Linked DNA regions of Saccharomyces cerevisiae S288C. Changing the gene in region 2 together with the main gene of any one other region gives a genetic interaction. Each region holds a gene or a part of one and is shown on either strand. Other genes may lie near its edges.

What was found.
Region 1: mutations in SEC66 (region 2) and HAC1 together harm fitness more than expected from each alone (negative genetic interaction), as found in Saccharomyces cerevisiae (5 studies listed by BioGRID, with this or other methods).
Region 3: mutations in SEC66 (region 2) and PSK2 together harm fitness more than expected from each alone (negative genetic interaction), as found in Saccharomyces cerevisiae (4 studies listed by BioGRID).
Region 4: mutations in SEC66 (region 2) and NEM1 together harm fitness more than expected from each alone (negative genetic interaction), as found in Saccharomyces cerevisiae (4 studies listed by BioGRID).

The regions. Positions count from the first base shown.
Region 1 is NC_001138.5:73,601-76,715, forward strand, and holds HAC1 (transcription factor HAC1), read left to right. Parts: upstream 1-1,578; coding exon 1,579-2,239; intron 2,240-2,491; coding exon 2,492-2,547; downstream 2,548-3,115. Other genes in the region: protein kinase RIM15, read right to left, coding at 1-827. UniProt on the Saccharomyces cerevisiae protein: Transcriptional activator involved in the unfolded protein response (UPR) pathway. Recognizes and binds to the UPR element (UPRE) in the promoter of UPR-regulated genes such as KAR2, PDI1, EUG1 and FKB2.
Region 2 is NC_001134.8:576,590-579,548, reverse strand, and holds SEC66 (Sec63 complex subunit SEC66), read right to left. Parts: upstream 1,186-2,959; coding exon 565-1,185; downstream 1-564. Other genes in the region: SMY2 (Smy2p), read left to right, coding at 1-399; NPL4 (nuclear protein localization protein 4), read left to right, coding at 1,463-2,959. UniProt on the Saccharomyces cerevisiae protein: Acts as a component of the Sec62/63 complex which is involved in SRP-independent post-translational translocation across the endoplasmic reticulum (ER) and functions together with the Sec61 complex and KAR2 in a channel-forming translocon complex.
Region 3 is NC_001147.6:241,696-247,339, reverse strand, and holds PSK2 (serine/threonine protein kinase PSK2), read right to left. Parts: upstream 3,844-5,644; coding exon 538-3,843; downstream 1-537. Other genes in the region: PEX15 (Pex15p), read right to left, coding at 1-190; LDS2 (Lds2p), read left to right, coding at 4,593-4,835, 4,899-5,644. UniProt on the Saccharomyces cerevisiae protein: Serine/threonine-protein kinase involved in the control of sugar metabolism and translation. Phosphorylates UGP1, which is required for normal glycogen and beta-(1,6)-glucan synthesis.
Region 4 is NC_001140.6:111,254-114,926, forward strand, and holds NEM1 (Nem1-Spo7 phosphatase catalytic subunit NEM1), read right to left. Parts: upstream 1,842-3,673; coding exon 501-1,841; downstream 1-500. Other genes in the region: TCD1 (tRNA threonylcarbamoyladenosine dehydratase), read right to left, coding at 1-64; GPA1 (guanine nucleotide-binding protein subunit alpha), read right to left, coding at 2,246-3,664. UniProt on the Saccharomyces cerevisiae protein: Catalytic component of the NEM1-SPO7 complex which acts as a phosphatase and dephosphorylates the phosphatidic acid phosphohydrolase PAH1. Essential for the formation of a spherical nucleus and meiotic division.

The DNA.
Region 1 (3,115 bases), on a different chromosome or scaffold from region 2:
TTATCGTGTAGTAATTGTATGAGCGATTCCGTTCTATGCTCGCAAACGCAACTTTGCGAATGGGTCTCCAACCACCAAACAGGGACAAAGTTCTCACAGACCCGGCATAGTTCCATTTTTGGCAGAGGTAGATTGAACTCGTCTATTATCATTTCCAGTCGTATTCTCTTCAAGTACTGCACGAAGATCTTAGCGCCGAACCCAAGCGTCTTGGCGAACTCTTCGGGAAGTTGGATATCGATATCGTCGCAATTATCGGATAACTGGATGACCATGTCGTCTTGAGCGTCTTCGTTGGCATAAAAGTCTGACCAGTCGTTTGTGCGAGGCTTGACTATCCACATCGTGTGAGAGGGCAACTGTGTGTGGCCATCCCTGATTAAGATACCACGTGCTTCCAAGGTCGTTATCGTACTTTCATCGTCACAGCCTGCGCTACCTTCATAGTCGGCTGCCTTTATCTTGAACGTTATAGTGCAACTGGTGTCATCATTCATGAGCAGCATGTCTGTGGCCTTTTGAAAGACACCTTTATCTTGATCGGATCCGAGAATAAGGTCTGCAATGTACGTCGGAGAAGAGCCACTATCATCGGCGACTCCTGTGATCGTGTTCCACTGTGGAGAGCCATATCGCACCTTGCCGTCCAGTTCCAGCTCCAAGATCATACACGGATTCTTCTCTGTGGCCAGCTGCAGATATTTTTCATAATTGGAGGAAGTCAATGAGCTTGGGTTCGAATTCGATGATATCGGGGAGAGCTTGTTTATGCCAAGTCCCTCTTTCATAGCCTGAGATCCGCCTGCGGTGTTACTTCTATTGAACATCTGTCTTCCTCTACTGGGCTTATCTATTCTATCAAATGAGGCAAGAGAAAGGAAAGGGAAAAAAAAAAAGGGAAAATGCTTGATGAGTTAGGAATTCAGTAAAAGCACCCACCAGAACCTCTACAGCAGGCCTTCCAGGAGTGGTTAAGAGGATAGAGAATTCTGTATATATATATACGTCTATATCTATACAAAAAACGGCAGACAATGCAGAAGTTGAAAATGCTGTGATACGAACAACAACTTATTTTTACAATGAAAAACAACACCAAGCTGCCAAAAGCTGTATATTAAAGTTAAAGCTCCCTCATTTTTAGTAAGGACGCTTTCTTTTCCCACAAAAGGGACGAGGAAAAAAAGAAAAACCTGGAAATATAGTCACGTGACATGAATAAACAAGACCTAGGGCAATATGGAAAAAGAAGCTAGGATAAAAATACATTTATGAGGGTTGTAAGGCAAAGTGGCTCAGCATTAAGTAGGGCTAAAAAGAGTCGCAAATATACATCGTACCGAGTGATGAACGTGGTTTTGAACACCTTGTTCTCTTTTGTTCTCGCTCCCTACATTCACTATATATTAGAAGAAATTTCACCTCAATGGACAACTCGAGAAATGAATACAGAAATATGTTTTTTAGCGAAATTTTCCTTTCTTCTTGTCTTCTTGTTTTATTTAAACTTCCAAGGCTTTAACTCAGTGTCAAACATAACAACCTCCTCCTCCCCCACCTACGACAACAACCGCCACTATGGAAATGACTGATTTTGAACTAACTAGTAATTCGCAATCGAACTTGGCTATCCCTACCAACTTCAAGTCGACTCTGCCTCCAAGGAAAAGAGCCAAGACAAAAGAGGAAAAGGAACAGCGAAGGATCGAGCGTATTTTGAGAAACAGAAGAGCTGCTCACCAGAGCAGAGAGAAAAAAAGACTACATCTGCAGTATCTCGAGAGAAAATGTTCTCTTTTGGAAAATTTACTGAACAGCGTCAACCTTGAAAAACTGGCTGACCACGAAGACGCGTTGACTTGCAGCCACGACGCTTTTGTTGCTTCTCTTGACGAGTACAGGGATTTCCAGAGCACGAGGGGCGCTTCACTGGACACCAGGGCCAGTTCGCACTCGTCGTCTGATACGTTCACACCTTCACCTCTGAACTGTACAATGGAGCCTGCGACTTTGTCGCCCAAGAGTATGCGCGATTCCGCGTCGGACCAAGAGACTTCATGGGAGCTGCAGATGTTTAAGACGGAAAATGTACCAGAGTCGACGACGCTACCTGCCGTAGACAACAACAATTTGTTTGATGCGGTGGCCTCGCCGTTGGCAGACCCACTCTGCGACGATATAGCGGGAAACAGTCTACCCTTTGACAATTCAATTGATCTTGACAATTGGCGTAATCCAGCCGTGATTACGATGACCAGGAAACTACAGTGAACAAGAACACTAGCCCCAGCTTTTGCTTTCTGCTTTTTTTCTTTTTTTTTTTTTTTAGTCGTGGTTCTCTGATGGGGGAGGAGCCGGTTAAAGTACCTTCAAAAGCAGAATGCAGGGTTATTGGAAGCTTTCTTTTTTTCTTTTATGCTAGTTTTTCCTGAACAAATAGAGCCATTCTTTTCTTATTACTAAGAAATGGACGGCTTGCTTGTACTGTCCGAAGCGCAGTCAGGTTTGAATTCATTTGAATTGAATGATTTCTTCATCACTTCATGAAGACAATCGCAAGAGGGTATAATTTTTTTTTTCTCGTTATTATCGCTGTTGGTGGGTTTTTTCTTTTCATATATTTCTTTTTCGCTTAGTGGTTTCTACTGTTCTGTCTCCGGTTAGTGTGTGCTACTTCAACCGAAGAAGAAGAGGCTTTTCAAGAATGCAAACGTGAGGTTGGCGCGCCCTCCTACAATTATTTGTGGCGACTGGGCAGCGACACTGAACATAGCTCTTGAACAAGACCCTTTTTTGGCTGCAAGGAGCAAGACTGGCTGGGGTTCCACCTCAAAGAGCCACGCTCTGCTTTTTTTCTATCTGTTTGTGTCATATCTATCTGTCTATTTATCTATATATATATTTTTTTATATAAAACTATAAAGAATTCTTGATGTATGCCCTTAGGTTGGGCAGCTTTTCAACCTTAGACTTGATGCTAACGCCGCTCTGTTCCTTCTCCCGTGCTCCCGCAAGCGAACATCTCCCCCTAACTCCGGGCCAATGAGTGATAACTATATCAAATACCTTCGAAAGGACCTTAGTCATCATATCACTCTCACTCTCACGGCTCTCT
Region 2 (2,959 bases):
ACCAGTTTAAATTCTTCATTAACGGCAAAAACTAGCACAACTTCTACTACCACTACCTTTGCTAGCATGAACAATGTTTCTCCCCGGCAAGAATTTATCAAATGGTGTAAATCACAGATGAAATTAAATTCTGGAATAACCAATAACAATGTCTTAGAACTATTATTGAGTTTACCTACGGGGCCAGAATCTAAAGAATTGATTCAAGAAACAATTTATGCCAATAGTGACGTTATGGATGGTAGAAGATTTGCCACTGAATTTATTAAAAGACGTGTTGCGTGCGAAAAACAAGGTGATGATCCACTAAGTTGGAATGAAGCGCTAGCTCTATCAGGCAATGATGACGACGGCTGGGAATTCCAAGTAGTGAGCAAGAAGAAGGGTAGAAAACACTGAAAGGAAAAGCTTCATAATTTTTTCTTTTCACTGCATATTTCTTTATCATTTATTGTTATTGTATATACTTTATAACTATTTTTTAACGCAGATAATGACAAATTCTATACATATTTTTAAAAAAACACTGAACGAGCGAATACATATCTTTGCACACAGTAGGCACTAATTGACTAATCTTCCATCATTATTTATTTTCAGCTCCCACTCTTTAATACACACTTCTTTCCGTTTCAAGATTGATTGATAACGTCTAGAGAGAGCTTGATTAAAGCAAATTTCTTTACAAACCATAACGAACAATTGAACCCAGCCCGGTTGCAATCTTTCAGCTTCTTGTAAAGTATCTTTAAATTCCAATTCAATTAATTTAACTTCAGTTTCAAATCTCTTCCAGTAATCCTCCCCAATAGAGCCATTTTTATATAGAAGGTTTATCTGAGGAGCCAACTCTTTTAACTTTAATGATCGTCTAACAGATTCTGCTCCTCTGTTCAATAAAGCGGCCTTCAACACCTTCTCGTGAATTTTTTCATTTTCACTCATTTCCTTTATTTGGAAATACAGATCATGGGCATCGTTTTCGTCAAATATGGATGGTTGCTCACTAATTTTTTTGGCCTGCTTCTTTCTGTAGCTTGAAGCAAACATCACAAGGGACACCACCAGAATAAAGACATATATGAGTGGGGTATAAACGGAGATTGATTTCGTCTCCACAATTGGCTCTTCCGTTTCAAAAAACGTCCCGTTGTTGGAGAATTTTGTTTCATTAAATTCGGACATATTGGCAAACTCAAGTAGTTGTGCGTACCTCTTTCCTGTACTTGAATTCGTTTAAATAAGCCATTTCATTAATATTTCATCAATTTTTTCACATATTATTTCAACTTTTAGACGTGTTCCTAAAACTTTTGACGTTTTTTGGCGGGTAATAAGATGCGTCTACCCATTTTAAGGAACGCCCTCGTAACATACAGAACGAAGAGTGGCAAATAATAGGACAGTACTCTGAAGAAAAATTTCCCTATACTACTGATATCGATATACATTTAAGTGAAGTATGCTTATCAGATTTAGATCAAAAAACGGTACACACAGGGTTTCTTGTCAAGAAAACGACCTTTTCGGAACGGTCATTGAAAAGTTGGTGGGTAATCTGGACCCCAATGCCGATGTCGACACATTTACTGTTTGTGAGAAGCCCGGTCAAGGTATTCATGCTGTTTCTGAACTAGCTGATCGAACAGTGATGGATCTAGGACTAAAGCACGGTGACATGCTGATCCTTAACTATTCGGACAAGCCCGCTAATGAGAAAGATGGTGTCAATGTTGAAATCGGATCCGTAGGTATTGACAGCAAGGGAATTCGTCAACACAGGTACGGTCCACTAAGGATCAAAGAACTCGCTGTAGATGAGGAACTAGAGAAAGAGGACGGATTAATTCCTCGTCAAAAATCAAAACTATGCAAGCACGGTGATAGAGGTATGTGTGAATACTGCTCGCCTTTACCTCCTTGGGACAAAGAATATCATGAGAAGAATAAGATCAAACATATATCGTTTCATTCATATCTTAAAAAGCTAAATGAAAATGCTAATAAGAAGGAGAACGGCAGCTCTTATATTTCCCCTCTTTCAGAACCTGATTTTAGAATCAATAAGCGTTGCCATAATGGCCATGAACCATGGCCTCGGGGGATATGTTCTAAATGTCAACCATCGGCAATTACATTACAACAGCAAGAATTTAGAATGGTTGACCACGTTGAATTTCAGAAGAGTGAAATAATTAATGAATTTATTCAGGCGTGGAGGTACACGGGTATGCAAAGATTTGGCTATATGTACGGATCTTATTCTAAGTATGATAACACACCTTTAGGTATAAAGGCCGTCGTTGAGGCGATATACGAGCCCCCTCAGCATGATGAGCAAGACGGTTTAACCATGGACGTAGAACAGGTCAAGAATGAAATGCTACAGATTGATAGACAGGCTCAAGAAATGGGGCTTTCGCGAATTGGCCTAATATTTACAGATTTATCTGACGCGGGAGCTGGGGATGGGTCTGTTTTTTGCAAAAGACATAAGGATTCGTTTTTTCTTTCATCATTAGAAGTTATTATGGCTGCTAGGCATCAAACAAGGCATCCTAATGTAAGCAAGTATAGCGAACAAGGTTTTTTTTCTTCCAAGTTTGTAACTTGCGTTATATCAGGTAATTTGGAAGGTGAAATTGATATTTCGAGCTACCAAGTATCCACAGAAGCTGAAGCATTGGTTACTGCAGATATGATAAGTGGGTCCACATTTCCTTCAATGGCATATATTAATGACACTACAGATGAAAGATATGTACCTGAGATATTTTACATGAAGTCGAATGAATATGGTATAACAGTGAAGGAAAATGCGAAGCCTGCATTTCCGGTAGACTATCTTTTAGTGACGCTGACTCATGGGTTCCCGAATACCGATACGGAAACCAACTCGAAATTCGTTAGTTCCACCGGATTTCCATGGAGCAATCGACAAGCTATGGGGCAATCTCAA
Region 3 (5,644 bases), on a different chromosome or scaffold from region 2:
TTTCTAGGCAATCCTTGATATCTCTTTTTATGAAAAGGTTCACACATTCTTGAAATACTTCACTCCTCTGATCATTTACCGACTTGGTCGATTCATCACTTTCAATGAATAAGTCATCGTTAAGTAAATCCCTTAGAGAAGAATCGAGGGAATGCATAGGCAGATTGTTCATTATCTCACTTGCAGCCATTATTCACAGAACCCTCTTGTATAAACCACACCGTAGTACGTTCTGCTAGTGCCTCTTTCTGTTTACCTAACTATTTCTCTTGCCTAAATATGTAAGTCTACGATGACTTTTCTATGGTACTTGATGTCACTCCGACGGCGATAAGCCGCTCAGCGCAGAAGTTTGCCCCAAAATAGAATGAAAGAAAATACTGCATAGAGGCTGGACAAGAAGGATATAGAGCAATGATATGATATTAAAAATGTAATTAATATATAGCCAAAAAAAGAATAGAACATTTATGAAGGTAAATGGTTATGAAAATGGATTAAATTATTCTTTCCCTTTATCTTGGAGAGTACGGAAAACTAGATTTTAAGCCATTTATCTTCATATATTTCATCAATAGTAGGTCTTTTATCAACTTCTCTTGTCAAAATTCTTTTTATCAAACTGATGCATTCTTCACTGACATGTTCCGATTTATCGAACCTTAATTCACCTTCCAAGATTTCATCAATGTTGTAATAAGGATTCTCTTTATAAATTATGGTATAAAGTAGCACACCAAGAGCCCAAATATCTTGTGGTTTACCTTTGTAAGAGGAACCACCAAGGACTTCAGGTGCAGCATAGTCCATTGTTCCCACAAAAACATCGAATGGTCCACTCTTGATATAGGCAGCCGAACCGAAATCGATTAATTTTACAAAGCCATGAGAATCAACAATAACATTTTCGTCCTTTATGTCTCTATGAACAATTCCTTGGTCATGTAAATGCTTTATACTAGCGACTACCTGTTTAAACACCAGTTTAGCTTCATGTTCAACCATATCTTTTTTGAATTCGATAACATCAAATAGATCAATACTACCAGTTTCTCCATGGACCGGTGTTTCAATGTAATAATAATCGTCATCTTCAAAAAAATCTAATAACTTCAAGATATTTTCTTGGGAATTTTTATTCAAGGTCGCCATAATTTGGATCTCAGAAGGTATAGTACCTAATTTTCTATCTCTCACCCATGTGTCTACTAAAATCCTCTCTTTGAAAATCATTTTGATGACCACGATATAGTGTTCTCTGTTATGAATGCATAAATTGACTTTACCGTACGCACCCTCACCCATCACTTGCAGAATAGTAAAATCAGAAAATTTCTTTATGCGCTTTTGTGAGCCTATATTAGCCTCTGGAGTAGTCAAGTACGTAGCTTTTAAAGTAGAATTTCTTTTGTCTAGCTCATTTGTTTCCTTTTTGATTTCTTCTCCGTTTATCGGTTCAATTATCCTCATTATAAATTTTTCATCCACTTTAAAGTTGTCGTCCTTTACAAATTTTGATTTGTCCTGCGTGTACATTTTCGTTAATTCAATTTTATGTTTTAACTCAGGATCATCAACCATTGTCATGTCATCGTCATAGTTATTGTTGTCATTAGATTCGATACCTCTCACTTTACCGCAAGAAGTTTCTCGTAGTTTTTCATTCACTTGATTTAAGTCTACTTCATCGTCTGAATTAGAAATCGTTTCAGCGGAGCTAATCGACAGATCAGCCATTGCCTTCAAAGTATTCACAGGAATTTTTTCCGAAGATTTCTTGGAAGATGCACTGGAACTACCTCTACTGCCAACGACATCAATTTCGTTCTCCTTTAACATCGGTAGCTGCGAAGGAACGGTGGTATAATTTTCAATGACCACGTCTCTTGAGTGTGTAATCCATAATAATACAGCATTCGTATTCAAGACCCGTAATTGAACATCCACCTTTATCAAATTACCATCTTTGTGACAGCCGTCTAGACCAATAGAAGTGTAAAACGAGTCCTTATCATGATGCATTTCAGCCTCAATTTTTCTGAAAAAATGTTCTGTTAAAACCAATCCTTTATTTTCTGGTAATGTGATATTTAACATAGGATAAGTTTTATTGATATAAGATATCATGTCCGCCAAAGAAGGAACCAACTTAGTAACCGAACTACCGGCCAACTCGTGAAGTCGCAAGCCAAACATGTTTTTGGCGACTGATTTGTTGAAACTTAAAAGACTTAAAGTGTGACTGTCAACAATAAATAGCCCAGCCTGATAGGGCAAACTATGAATTTTTAATTTTATTTCGTTTTCCAATACGGAAGTTGTAACAGCACATGGTATATTTTCAGATAGACAATTCAACGTAAAATATCTCTCTTCGTTGACATGATTTGCCACCCTGATAGACAAGGGTAATAAATCATCATCTGCAGAAAACACTTTTCCAAAACGTACATCATCAATTAGTTTACTCAGTGAGTGACTTACTGACCCAATATCGTGAATTTCATTTGCAAATTTTACCGTTTTCTTTTCTGTCATTGGCGAAGTTGATTCTTGCTGCTTTTTCTTGTCAAAGTTTTCCAGAAAGTGTGTTGTATCAATAATGCTGTCCACTGAAAAATCTCTCAAGTTTAACATGACGTCAATGTAATCGCAAGGCGTTTTTTCAAATACGCAGACCAGTAGGCCATTCTTCCGCTTGGCCCATAGTGAAGCCCAAATCAGATTTGGTACATTATTATTGCTTGTCGAATTTGGCTGGACGATAGGTATAGTTTCTCCGGTAAACACAATTTCTTGGTTATCATCTTCTGCATTCATGATTTTCTCTAGAACAAAATTTCTGCTATCCGTATGAATAAGGTCTAGTAAAGTAAGTGCCTTGATAACATTCTTTGATATACCGAACGTTAGACACGCCAAATCATTGGCAGCTTTGAAGTTCCAGGGGTATTGTTGAGAACATGTAAAAATGGCCTCTGGACCAGAATTTTTTGCAGATGTGAAAGGATGAAGAATTCGGCTATAGTCCTGTTGTGGTTTGATGTCTGCTAAGGAGACTATATCATCGTGTTTCTCCTCATATTCATTATATTGCGATTTCGAACCTAAATCTTTGTGAGGGAACTTCTTGTAGTTTTCAAAAAATGGTTCTGCTAAACTATCTAATAAAACCTTTTTCAAAGTTTCTGATTTTTGAATGTCTGAATCAAAGTTTATTTTCTTGATATTCAATAACGATAGCATGTGTAAATCGGAAGCTCTTTCGAAGGAATTGTTTTCCAATGCTAAATTTAGCAAGAATAACAAGTTTTCTAACTCGGACTTGGCTGGATTCAGTTTACTGGCAGTATCATTATCAGGCAACACCATTAAGGACGTTGCTCTCTGTATCACGGGTCTACTAGCAGGAGATGGCATATTGGATACTAATGGTGAAATTAGAGACCCATTTAACGGATCTCGCGATGCTGATAACGTGGCAGTCTCTGTTAAGTTTCTTGTGTGTCTAAGTGAGGGGGGGTATGCTATTACGGGTGCTTTTTTCTTCAACTCATGTAAGATGTCAGGACTGTTTACCATTATTTCCAAAGACCTTCTTAAGATGGTCAACCTTACTCCCAGTGAGTTTGGTGATATGGGATTATACGAAAATGCATGCGGCGACTCATTAGGTACAGCAACAAGGTCCGAACGATCATCATCACTGAATGTTGACGAAAACGAATCGACGGACGAGGAAGCGTGTTGGTACAAGCATGGAGGTTTAGAGAGCCCTACCAACGGGGTATTTTTAGAATATGAAATGTCGGCAGGAGCGGCTGCACTAACCGGGTATGTCATTGTGTTCTTTGTTTATGATTCTTTACTTTAATCTAGCAGGGCAGAGGAGTAACAATAAAACGCCCTGCAAAGAAGTATGATTACTGTTCTTGCCAGACTTAGAATTCTAAGTGTTAAAAGTCACCAATAAGGAAGGAAAAAAGTTTATGATAGTTTATACTGTTGTTGTTACTACCTGCTCCGTTATGTTTCTAACAAGGAATAAAACAGGGTATAGACGTGATGTCAGCTTAAAGAGGAAAACGAAATATGTAAACTTTGTTAAAAATAAACAGGGCCCCTTATTGATCGTTCGCGATGCTATTATTTTATAAGCCAGCCTTTATCGTTTCTTTTGATCTTGTTTCTTTTTCTTGTTTTTTTTTTTAACTTCGTTCTCTTTTCACGTACTGATTACTCACACCAGGAGAAAGAAGTTGAAAAATGCTGTTATTCTCTGGAACACGCTATTAGATAGTACTTGCTGGTTCCGTAGACAAACAGCTCTTGCGCTTTATCACTTCGACAAGTGTCTTTACAGCTTCGCGATGACATATCGTCTCTTGCCCCTGCCCCACCTGTAACAATAGCTTGGCCAAAAAAGAAAAAAATGTTCCGACGAATTTTTCCGCTGATTTTGGCTGATCGCGTCGCGCCACAAAAACGAAACTTCCATAATAAAACATTATATAAAGCTTTTTATTATTATTATTATTACTTTCTTAGTTATAGCATTAGAACTATAAGAGCTGCTAAGACACCAAGCAAACATGTCGACTAGACCCCAACCTGATTGGTATTACCATAGACATCCATATGCCTCTACGCCACTGGCAGAAGGGGAGGAACCACAATTACTCCCCATCCAAGACCAAGGGAACCATAAGAAATCAAAAATTTGGATGGCATACAAGGCTCCGATAGTTCGATGGTACAAGAATGCTATGCTTGTTAAAGACAATTTTTGGAAAGACCTAGAGTCGTCGCACCAGATCATCTGGTATCCGTATAAAGTATGTTGATGTTCCAATAAGCAGATCATGTTTTTTAAGCCGTCATACTAACCGCCTTTGAAGGGAATTAGCGAATCCGTGGGAAACTCGGATTATTTGCATCTATTTTTCCTAATATTTGGATACTACCTGCTGAATCTCCTGCTTATTGTTGCGTTTACGTCAATCCTTGCGTGGTCCTTGTTAGTGTGCATCTATTTGCCCTTTCTCGGACTCTTTGCGTTACCTCTGGCTTATATGCAAACTATTCTGATTTCCACAACGCTATGTAATTCTATGGTGAAGGGTACCGATTTCGTTCTTTTCACACGTATTTATGGAGTGACGTTCGCAAGAAAGGGATTAACAGAGTTGAGTGAAGCCTGTGAAACGATAAGTTTCACGCCCTTTGTCTACAGAAGGTCACATCGTTTGGGTGGCCTCTTTTCGAAACGGTTTTACCTCGTCTCTTTGCCGCAGTTTTTCATTTTTTTCTTCTGGTACATCTTCATAGCCTTTATGTTTCTTTTATTGTTGCTCGTTCCAATAGTGGGTCCAATTACAATCAATATGCTACCATTTAGCCCCGGAATGGGATTTTACTATTTTGAGCCTTATTTTGTTGACGTGCTACATTTGGATTCGCGCAAACTTTCCAAAGTTTACTACAAGGGCTTTGCCAAGTGGCTCCTTTACTCGATATCCAGCGGTTTATTAGAGTCTATTCCCATTCTGGGTGGGTTGTTCATTGGAACAAACGCAGTAGGTGCTTCGCTTTGGATAGTTAAAGAGATAAAAGACCGGGACCAGCCAGCCGTACCTCCTTCCCC
Region 4 (3,673 bases), on a different chromosome or scaffold from region 2:
GTTGGGTTGAAAACACCGATATAAGAGCTGTAGTAGCAATTAACTTCCACGTATTATTTGCCATTTGTTCGTTCTGCTATCCTAACTAATTGCAGTATTAATACTTTACTAACGCTAGAAAATTTTTTCATAGTCTTGTCTCTTTTCGCTACTGCATAAAATATGAAAAAGAAATCAAAAAACCTGACAGCAAAATGTAAAGTAAGATACGGGCATTTAGCGTGTCACTGCTGAAGATAACGTAAGACTAAAAAAATTTCAAGATTAATTCCCAACCTATATATATATATATATATATATATACTGTTTAGATCAAGTATATCTTCCTGCTAAATAATTAATATGCTCGTATGTAGAAAACAAAAAAGAGGTCTTTTCTCTTTTTTCTCCCGTTACTTTTTTCCCTGAATGCAATAACCTTTCCATTAAATGAGCAGCAATGGATAGGCGATTTATCACCTAAAATTCTCATCTTTTTTGGAAGGACACAATAACAATTGTCAGTTTATGTTGAATGCCTTCTCTCCATGTTTCAATGCCAGTATATTCCTGACATCTGTTGAATACCTCATAGCCTCCAAGAAAGGTAACAGGTTCAGTAAGTCCGTATCAGTTGGATCACTTATCCATCCTTCTACTTGAATAGCGTTATCTACATTCATTGCGTAACTTACCGGGCTGTTATCTATAATAATGACATCATCCAAAGAAGAGGAGCTGCCTTTCCCGTTTTCTTCGGAGTCCTTGACAATGCTCAAATCTTTAATGTATCCAACACCATCCCTTAGAACGCAATCAGAACGGTAATATCTTTTTGAAAAACTGGATGGGAAGGAGCTTTCTAACCAATCTATCACAGGATCAGCGTATTCTTTCATGGATGCTGTAAAAATGATAAGGTCGTACCATTTGCTAACTTTTGTCAAAAATAAATCACAGTAAGGCCTCTTGTGAATAAAGTATAGTGTACGAATTCCGCTCAATCCAAACTTCACTTCCACCAAGTGACCCTGAGAAGAATTACTATGCGTTGTACTTCGAGAAGCCGAGTGAATTAAGGTCTCATCGAGATCTATAACCAGTTTCTTTTTCTTTTGTGTGTTAAGCACGGATTTAGGTATCAGCTTCTTTGGAAATAAGAACCTTCCCATTCGTTTTGTACCAAATACGGTATTAGAACTTGAATGATTAGAAAGTGATAGTTCTGATTTGGAATAACTTCTTGGCCTTGATTTGACAGATTGAGCTCTAAGTAATGAGCCTTTAACATTATCCCTTTGTAGAATTATCTCATCACTGGCATTTAAGTCATCCTCAACTGCCTCGGGAATCGTATTTAGATTGCAATTTTTAGGATTTGTTTTCTCGCTAGAATCGTTAATATTGCTTGAACTGACAGGCAGCTCATTCTCACTAGCATTTGAACCCCTGTTTCTCTTATCGGTGTGTTTTACACGACGCTCGATGACACTTAGTGGGAAGGTAAAAACAAACCATAAAGACATCAAGGGCTTGATTATCAGATAATACGGAAGAAAAAGTAGTAGTGCCCACAAAATTGACGCTATTTTCTCTATTAGGATGGAACGTAAAGCTTTTGGTTTTTTAGGAACAGAATTTTTGCGCTCTTGATTTTGATCAGATTCTTTTAAGTGGCTTGAGGAGTGGTCGTACTGTTGGTCCACCTCACTAACGCAATCATTTTCGCTGTGGCTAGTATATTTGTTCGAAACTTCCTTTGAAGGGCCTAGTAGATCTTGATTCTTTGTCACCTCAACATTGATTTTTTTTTGTTTCTTTGTAGTTATTAAATGATTTGAGAAATATTTTAGGGCATTCATTCAATTAATGAAACAATGTCCAGAAATTAACAACAATAAAGAAAAGTGAGAATAGGATGCAAAATAGGTTCTATATATCCCGAGTATTTACCAGGGAGAAGAATTCGAGATAATACCCTGTCCTTACGTAGAAGAATCAATTGTTTTCAAGAGTTTTTCTTCTAAAAAAGTGTCTGGACCTTTTTTTTCTCATGCGATTTTATTACCCTTGTTTTTCAATTGAAAACCCGGAACGATTTAACGAGATCAAGAACTGTTGAACAAAATGGCTTTTTCATTTGGCATTCCATCATAGACTCTAATGGAGAAGAAAAATAGTAATTTTTTCTGGTGCTGCTGCTCCTTCTTGCATCTTCGGAAACAGAATTTACGTATCTAAACACTACTTTAATTATACAGTTCCTTCATATAATACCAATTTTTTTAAGGTTTTGCTGGATGATTAGATCGGTGACTGCACTCAATACGAACTTCATAGTTTGGGTATCGGTAGCGCAGGTTCGTTTCACGTAGATTGGTTTGTTTGTCTTATTCAAGCTCAAAAATATCTTCTCAAAATATTTTAGACCCGCTTCTGCATCGCCGACACGTCCCTGGTAATCAGGAAAGTACTTTCTTATGGGCATGCTTTTTACCTTTTCCTCGAACAAATCAATTTTATTTAAAAACAAAATAAACGGTGTATCTTTGAACCACTTAGAGTTCAATAACGTGTCAAATAGCATTATTGATTCATGCATTCTGTTCACTCTTTCATCCTCAAACAACATCTGGTCGTATTCACTCATTGCTAAAACAAATAAAACTGCTGTAATTCCTTCGAAACAATGAATCCACTTCTTACGTTCAGAACGCTGCCCACCAGCGTCGAGAACCTTGAATTTGGACGAGCCGATGTTAAATTCGGTTTCTGTAATGCCTGTAGTCTTTATACGGCCCTTCAAAATGTCTTCATCCGTACAGACATAATTCGGACTAGCAAATTTCTCAATGTTATCAAAGTAGTATGCAGCTGAGCCCTCCAATTGAAACTCATTAGAACGTGCAAAACACTGCTTTATACCTTTGTCGTTATTCCAAAGTTGCTTTATTGCCTTAGCAATGTCTTCGTGAATAAGATTTCGTCTATTTTGTCCTTGAATTTCCCTTGATGTTTTTCTAACAAACATCTGGTCATCGCCTTCTTGGTTCAAGTCCTTGCAAATATCCTGTAGGTTAATTCTACTACTGTTGTTTCTATCAGCATCCTCATTTTGCGTCACCGTTTCAGCATCTCTGTCAGTGTCACTTTTGACATTAGAAATATTTCCGTCTTCATCGAAAGCAGCTTTTGCTCGTCCGGTACTCTGAACACGCCTCCTAGTTTCATACCTTTCTGAGTACTTCAGTACATAATCATTTAGAAAATCAGAACCACCGGCAACACTGGCGTTGATATAATCTAAAGCTTTAGCCTTTAGCAGTATTCTCTTGCATGCAAACAAATCTTTATTGTTGATCGGATCATCACAGTCAAGTTGAATACCTAGTTTTCTGGCCTGAATAATCAAAATTTTCATTGATTGTATGGCATCTGCCCATATCACTTGAGCATACTGTAACCTTTCTTGATGGGAGAAACCGCCTTGATGTAATAATTTTAATTGTTTTAAAACCGTTGATTTACCTGACTCACCGGCACCTAATAGTAACAGTTTTATTTCATTCTTGTCACGTTGTTTCTCCAGCTGCAACGATTGCTCGATGACATCATTGGCTCTTTTGTTCTGTAGAAAAGGATCACTTTCGTCTCCTATTGTTTGCGTACTCACTGTACACCCCATTATTTCCTA